2 linked regions of the Macaca mulatta genome follow. The protein of the gene in region 1 interacts with the protein of each later gene in a biochemical or structural test. Links are inferred from orthologs where the notes say so. Each region holds a gene or a part of one and is shown in the gene's direction. Other genes may lie near its edges. The genes, in order: MXD1 and MAX.

Evidence for each region.
Region 2: the proteins of MXD1 (region 1) and MAX form a complex in vitro, tested with the Homo sapiens proteins (4 studies listed by BioGRID, with this or other methods). The link is inferred for Macaca mulatta from reciprocal best matches to the Homo sapiens genes MXD1 and MAX.

Annotation. Positions count from the first base shown.
Region 1 is NC_133418.1:54,837,507-54,841,418, reverse strand, and holds the start of MXD1 (max dimerization protein 1), read left to right. Parts: upstream 1-1,215; 5' UTR 1,216-1,253; coding exon 1,254-1,326; intron 1,327-2,044; coding exon 2,045-2,144; intron 2,145-3,912. UniProt on the Homo sapiens protein: Component of a transcriptional repressor complex together with MAX. In complex with MAX binds to the core DNA sequence 5'-CAC[GA]TG-3'. Antagonizes MYC transcriptional activity by competing with MYC for MAX binding.
Region 2 is NC_133412.1:138,175,076-138,178,494, reverse strand, and holds the end of MAX (protein max), read left to right. Parts: intron 1-574; coding exon 575-698; intron 699-967; coding exon of another isoform or gene 968-1,134; exon of another isoform or gene 1,135-1,176; intron 1,177-1,182; coding exon of another isoform or gene 1,183-1,267; intron 1,268-1,952; coding exon 1,953-2,140; 3' UTR 2,141-2,625; downstream 2,626-3,419. UniProt on the Homo sapiens protein: Transcription regulator. Forms a sequence-specific DNA-binding protein complex with MYC or MAD which recognizes the core sequence 5'-CAC[GA]TG-3'. The MYC:MAX complex is a transcriptional activator, whereas the MAD:MAX complex is a repressor.

The DNA of each region.
Region 1 (3,912 bases):
AGTTTAATGCCATTCTGTAGGTTCACAAAGTCTCAGCTTTAAAAACCCACTCGCGTGAAAGGAATTAATTATTCCATCATTTCCCGGGGATGGAGGGGGTGCGGAAAAGGCGCATGAGCTCAATGCTGTATATTGGAGCCCGATTCCAGCTCTTTCTTGAGGGCAGAAAAAACGCCAGGCGGCAAGCATTTAACAACCGCCAGGCTTTTCTTCTCAAGCCCCGCAGCAGCCACGTGGCGCCTGCCCGAGCTCCCGGCTCACCGGCCACTATCCTACACCGCTCTCCGGGATGATTCGCGGCTGGGCCCTCGCCAGCCGGAGTTCCGCGAAGCCCAGAACCTCCAGGGCCGCGGCCACCAGACCCAGGGCTCCGGCCCCGAACCCAAGCGGCGCAGAGCGCCCAGGCGACGCGAGGTGCCAGCCTTCCATTCGAGGGACGCCTGGCAGGTCCCCGGAAGTTTTCCCCGGGGACAGGTCTTGGCAACAGGTCCGAGGCGAGACCGGGTGGAGCCGAGCTCCGCGGCTGCCGGTGAATCAGCGCCGCCCAGCGCCGGACCGGCCCTCCCAGCCAATGCCACACCTGGTGAGGAGCAGGCAGGCCGCTGACCATCAGCCACTTAGGGCTCGCCTGAACTGGAGAAAGGTGACATCATCGTAGCTGGGAGGTTTCCGAAGGCTTCACCAATGGGAGACCGGCGAGGTGCTTGCCTGCTACAGCTCTTGGCCAATACTAACAAAGCAAAAGGGGGCCCGGGTTGTTGGTATAGAACCAATGGGAAACAAGGAAGGAGCACGAGGCGGAGTTGCGAATCCTGTCACCAATTGGAAAGAGGGGGTGGAGCCCGGGCCTTGTCAAGCGTGACCAACCAGCGAGAGGAGCGGACTTTGGGGGGTGGAGCCGTGAAGCCCTCTCCCAATCGCACAAGTTTGGGGGCGGGGCATTCTTTGGGGGGCCCAATGAGGAACGCGGCCGAAGCTGGCCTGTCAAGAGAAGGGGCTGGGGGCGGGGAGATGGTGAGTCGGGGATAAACACTCCGCGGCGGTGGCGGCTGCTGCTCTGCTCCGGGTTCTGTCACGGTGTCGGCGGTGCCCAGCTCACTGGCCCCCCTCCCTCTCTTGTCGAGCGTGGTTGCCAGAGAGGCTCCCTCAGCCCTGCTCCGCGGTGTCCACAGCGGGCTCCATAGCGGTCCGGCGGCGGCAGCGAGCCCGTGGGCAGTGGGGGTTGGTCCCGTGGCTCCGGCCCCCGGTGCAGAATGGCGGCGGCGGTTCGGATGAACATCCAGATGCTGCTGGAGGCGGCCGACTATCTGGAGCGGCGAGAGAGAGGTGCACGGGGACGGGAAGGGGTCCACTCGAACCGAGGCCGGGGGTCCTGTAGGGCCGGCCTCAGGTCCGGGCGCCCAGCCGCTCCGGGGGTGGTTGGAGGCGGGGAGACCGCGAGCGCTCCCAACCCCTCCGGCTCTCCCCACGCGCGGTCCGAAGGGAGGCCGCCGCTGCCCTAGAGCAATGAATCAGGTGGAGAAGGGGCTTTCGCCCGCCGGGGTCCCGAACGCCGCCCCTTCCGCAGTCCCTCCCGAATGGGTGGCCGGGGCCGCCTCCGATAGCCTCCCTGGTTTACCTCACCCGGGCTGGTCCCGGCCGGCCCCCAGGTGGGTCCAGCGCCCCAGTCTCCTGGGCAGAGGAGCAGCGCCTCACGGTGCTTGCCCCGCACCTTCGCCTGAGGCTGGTTCCACTTAACCCGCACCAACCTGCTGGACGTTGCCAGTGGGAAACCCAGGCTGCGTGAGCTTAGCCACTACTGTGTCTTTCTCAACAATGAGCAGCTGGAATCCTCTTTACACCTGCTCCGAACTGAGGGTATTCACACAATGTTGTTGTTTTTTTTTTTTTTTTAATCATTGTTCTCAGAATTCCACCTTACTCCATTTAATTATTTCCACAATATTCTTTTAAAGATAAATAAAGGAAAAAGGAAATACTGTAGAGAGGAGAGAGTATTAAATATTCTGGGCCCATTCATTAACTGGATCCTCCTGTTTTCTAGAAGCTGAACATGGTTATGCCTCCATGTTACCATACAATAACAAGGACAGAGATGCCTTAAAACGGAGGAACAAATCCAAAAAGAATAACAGCAGTAGCAGGTAATTTGGTAAATACTTCTTTCTGTCTTTTAGATTATATTGTAGGTGACACAAACTGCTGAATGTAAGTTGCCTGTTGTGATTATAACCCTATAAAATTACATTGTGGCCGTCATGATTCAGTAATGTACACATGGACTTAAGACCTTGTAGGAAGCTGTTTCTGTTTGGGTTGAGGGAACTGAAAAGAAAAATAGAAATGTTTTACATTTTTTATGAACTTTATTCAAAATTTAATTTCGCTTTTCTTCCCTTTTGGAACAAAAAAATCTGTGAAAGCTTCAAGTGAGATTAGCAATGGTGACAATATTTTCCCTTCAGAAGTTGCAGATCAGGGCAAGTTTTCTATAAGTCAAAATGCTGGACATTATCCATTTCTTTTACTTTTCGTTGTAATGATTTTATAAACACATTAAAGTACCTGATTTGGCATAAGTGGTAGGATCTCATACTTGACATGTAAATTAAATACAGTGGTTTGTTTGATACTCTAATTTGTCACCTCTATTTGTAGTGGCAAAGAGGAATGATTGAGGTTAAAACCTACCTCTTTAGTGATAGAGGAATATATAATACCGAAATATTAATATGCTACAACCTTTCCATGTTAGTCTTATAGATTGTCTTATACCATAGTTCTTAAAAGCTGTGAATCTCACTGGAGATTTGGTTAATGGTCAGTTAAATCACATATTAAAGTCCTGTGCATAGTTTCTGGTACATGTAAATAGTCCATCAATGTTACTGCCCTTTTTCTCCCTTCTTTGCCCTTAAAATGTAGTTGGCTAGGAAATTCGTTTTATTAGATCCCTTCAACTATACCTTTCCTGCCAGTAAATTAAAAGCATTGATTTTTTCGTCACTGGTTTAGAATCCTCATCCCTCCCTCACCCTCATGAATAACTCCTTGCAAGTATCTATTTGATATTCTCTGTGGCTTAATACAGACCAGGAATTTCCCACTTAAACCTAAAAATCACTTGTTCTTGCTGCGTCTTCTGTACTTGGTTCACCTCATTAGTATCGTTGGTGGAACCACAGGATGTGAGCAGCATTACTTGTGCCATGCCCTTGAATAAAAATGGCACATGAAGAATCAACCTGGTAATTACTTGGTGGGTTTTGCTTGTCCTCTAATCTTAGCATTACCTGAAGGTGGTAGCCTGTAGTTTTGTGCATGGATATGAAGGCACTTTAAGAAGGTTGTTAATACTGACTTGTAATATGCAATGGTATAAAAACAATTCAGCTGTGTTGCATTTTAATACAGTATTTTTTTTAATTTGTTTAAAAGAATTTTGAGGCCTTTCAGTTAATTTTTCTGGAAAAACATAGTCCATTTTGGCTTTTATTATTGTCCACTAATGATTTGAGAGGAATTGTCCATGTTACTTATTTAGGCTTAATACCTTAACACCTTATTTTTTTCCTTAGTTTCACAGGAAGGTTGTAGGGGATGTTCACTAGTGGGGATAAAAAAATGAGATGTTGAAGTGGTTTGGTCCCAAAAGGTGATTAGGAAAGAAAAATAATAGTAGTTAAGAATCTTAAGCCAAGAAATGGATTCTTTCTAGTAGAAAGAATCAGTACTATGCCAAAAAAAAAAAAAAAAAAAAAAAAAAGGGCTACAAATTCTTCTGTTAATGGGTTGGTTTGCTTTCCATGGTTAGAGACAGGGGATTATCACAGTTGTCCATATACTTGACTGTTAGTGAGTTAGTGTAATATATTCAGTAGTGTAAGGATTTCTGAGAGACCATGATTAAAC
Region 2 (3,419 bases), on another chromosome or scaffold:
GAAGAATCACTTGAACCCGGGAGGTGGATGTTGCAGTGAGCTGAGATCACACCACTCTACTCCAGCCTGGGCAACAGAGCAAGACTACATCTCCAAAAAAAAAAAAAAAAAAAACTGGCTGGGCATGGGGTAACCTGTAATCCCAGCACTTTGGGAGGCCAAGGTGGGATCACCTGAGGCCAGGAGTTCGAGACCAGCCTAGCTAACATGGTGAAACCCCATTTCTACTAAAAATACAAAAATATTAGCCGGGGGTGGTGGCGCATGCCTGTAATCCTAGCTACTCAGGAGGCTGAGGCAGGAGAATCACTTGAACCTGGGAGACGGAGGTTGCAGTGAGCCAAGATCATGCCATTGCACTCCAGCCTGGGCAACAAGAAAGAAACTCCGTCTCAAAAAAAAAAAATACAACAAAAAAAGAAGGCCTACAGTAGCCATTACTGTATTTCTTCAGCCTTTTCCCACCTTATCCTCTTGATTCTAGCCACCCAGGCAGTTGCTGCAGGCCGGGTTCCCTCACTGCCTGGATTCGGTTTTTATTTTGTCCCCTGTGCTTTTTCTCATATTGCCACAGGCATCCCGGGCCCAAATCCTAGACAAAGCCACAGAGTATATCCAGTATATGCGAAGGAAAAACCACACACACCAGCAAGATATTGACGACCTCAAGCGGCAGAATGCTCTTCTGGAGCAGCAAGGTGAGCACCCAAGCTCGTGGGGCAGCTGGCCCTGCTGTGCTCTGGCTGGGTCAGGCTTTGGCACCTAGGCCTGCAGAGTCAGAGCCAGTCATGGAGTGTGTGCTCAGAAGCAGGCTTGGTCCTGCTTCTTGGGGCCTGAGTAGCTGAGTGTTAGAGCCGTCCTGAGGAAGGACCTGAGATGCTAGTGAGGAGACAGTGGAAGCTAGGAAGTTGGACATCTGGAGACTTGTACCTTTTCTGGCCTGACCTCTCCCCTTCTTGGGGCTCAGGTGCTCTGCCTGCAGTAGGGATCACACCTGGCATCAGGTGTCTGAAAAGAGCTTTGAGGTCCTTGGAGTGGAATGTGCTATGTAAGTACCAGAGACTCCAGGTGTTCAGGGACAGTGAGCCCTCCCCATTGTCAATGGTAGTCCAATCGGGGCAGCCTGTGGGCTAGGCCCATGCTGTTCTCAATGCTCACACCCGCCTTTTCCTACAACCACAGGGGAAAGCAAGAGCTGATCAAGTTGTTTGTTCCTGGGGAATTCACTTCTCTTCCTCCCTCATGGAAGATGCAAGTAAAAGGAAATGCAAGTAACCACCTGGGTTAGAAAACCTCAAATAAAATAAAATAAAATAAAGTAAAATAAATGGGTTGACCTTCCAGGCTCAAGCTGAGCTGAACCAAGAGATGGGCAGTGGGTGGTGTCAGTGGGTTGGTTACTGGGCCAAGCAGCCTGCATGTAGGGGCTATTGGAAAAGCCCAGGTATTTTATGTGTATTGGTGACTTGCTTCCAAGTGTCCAGCTTGTCATTTCAAGTGGATCTTGTACACGAGAGCTAAGCCAAAACTGTTCTTTGGCTGATACGTCTTATGTCATCCTTTTCTGCTGTTGCGTGGCCTCACACCTTGTGGAGCCTCATGCTCCTGGGCCAGCTTCTCCTCTGTTATTGCACTTCTAAATCCCACAGGGAGCTCACGCTCCAGTCTCTCCGCAGGGGCTTCCACGGCAGGACGGTGACATCACAAGCCTTCTCTTCGGGGTTGGGTGGGATTGCAGAGTATCTGCTGGCTCCCAGGTCCAGCTGGGAAAGGCGGGAGGGAAATGAAGTGTGTGAGTGAACAGCCACCCGAAGGGAGTACTTCTGAGCATCTTGAGCCTCGGGGGCCAACAAGCAAGCCCTTAGGAAGAACAGGCTGGACCCTGAGTCTGAGACTCGGTTACTCCCCAAGTCTCCAGAAGGCAGTAACACACTCCCTTGGTTGCCTTTTAGTCCGTGCACTGGAGAAGGCGAGGTCAAGTGCCCAACTGCAGACCAACTACCCCTCCTCAGACAACAGCCTCTACACCAACGCCAAGGGCAGCACCATCTCTGCCTTCGATGGGGGCTCGGACTCCAGCTCGGAGTCTGAGCCTGAAGAGCCCCAAAGCAGGAAGAAGCTCCGGATGGAGGCCAGCTAAGCCACTCGGGGCAGGCCAGCAATAAAAACTGTCTGTCTCCATCGTCTCATCCTCCTTTCAGTTCATCGGTAGAACCCTCAGAAGCATCTAAAAGACTCTATTTTTCTCTTTCTCCCTTTTTTTTTTTTAATTTTTATTTTTACATAGAAGCTCTTGGACAACAGCTCTTGTTCTCCTTCCCCATTTCCACTGTATATTTTTTTTAATGTATTCCCTTCAGGGATTCCCTGTCCCCACCAGGAATTTTTAAACCAAAACACCCCAACTTGGCAGCTTTTTCTGTGGAGGACAGATGGCCGGCCAGACCTCTGAGCACATAGTGTCCTGCCCACCCTACCAGCTCCTCCAGCCCTGCCAGGCACATGCCTGGAGGACGCCTGCCCTGCCCAGGCGGCCTCCTGGTCCGCCCTCACCTCTGATAGACTTTGTGAATCTGAACTGCTCTACTTTGAGAAGATGACCGGTTTGGAGTAATCAGAATGAACCCTCCTCCTTTTTAAGGGTTTTTTTTTTTTTTTTCCTTTTTCTAAAAAGCTATGTATCGCTCCTATTGAAAGACCAGATTCTTAAAGAAGTTTGTGGCATAAAAAGAAAGTGGGGACAGATTCGCAGCACAGAGTCCCTGGCATGTTTCACTCCTGCTTCTCTCAGCCAGCTGTTTAAGCCTGCGGTGCCAGCCTCACGGAGGGCCGTGTGACACTCTTGTGGTATGTATGGGAGATGGCAGCAGTGAAGCAGCAGCCACCAGAGAGTGGCCATTTAAGGGTTGGGACAGGGAGGGTGTTTTGGGTGGCATAGAGGTTTTGTATTGAGGGCCAGTGATGATGTTTTGATATTTATTTCCTGCTACTTAAATTTGAATCTGAGTGAATTGTACCTATTTCTGATGATGTCGGTCTTGCAAAGCGACAGATTCATAAAGTAATGATGAAATCTTTCTTTCTTCCCGTGTGTATTTCTAAGAAATAGAGCCAACTGATTTTGTATGTAAATACCAAGAGCAATTTACCTGGTACTAAACCCGCACCCCAGTGCGGACCCTTCCCAGCCCTCACCCCACTTCCTTTCCTACTGTCCTGGAACCTGTCTCCATTGCGTGATCCAGCCCTGGTTCTGGCTGTGGTCAACAGATCCCAGTGAAGGGTTTTGTGTGTTTAGGCCTCATTTCTTTGTCTTTTTCCTACTCCGTTCCTGGCATTTGCTGATTTCTAGTGTATACTCTGTAGTCTCTGTTCGTGTTTGATTCCATTCCATGGAAATAAAAAGTATGTTGTACATA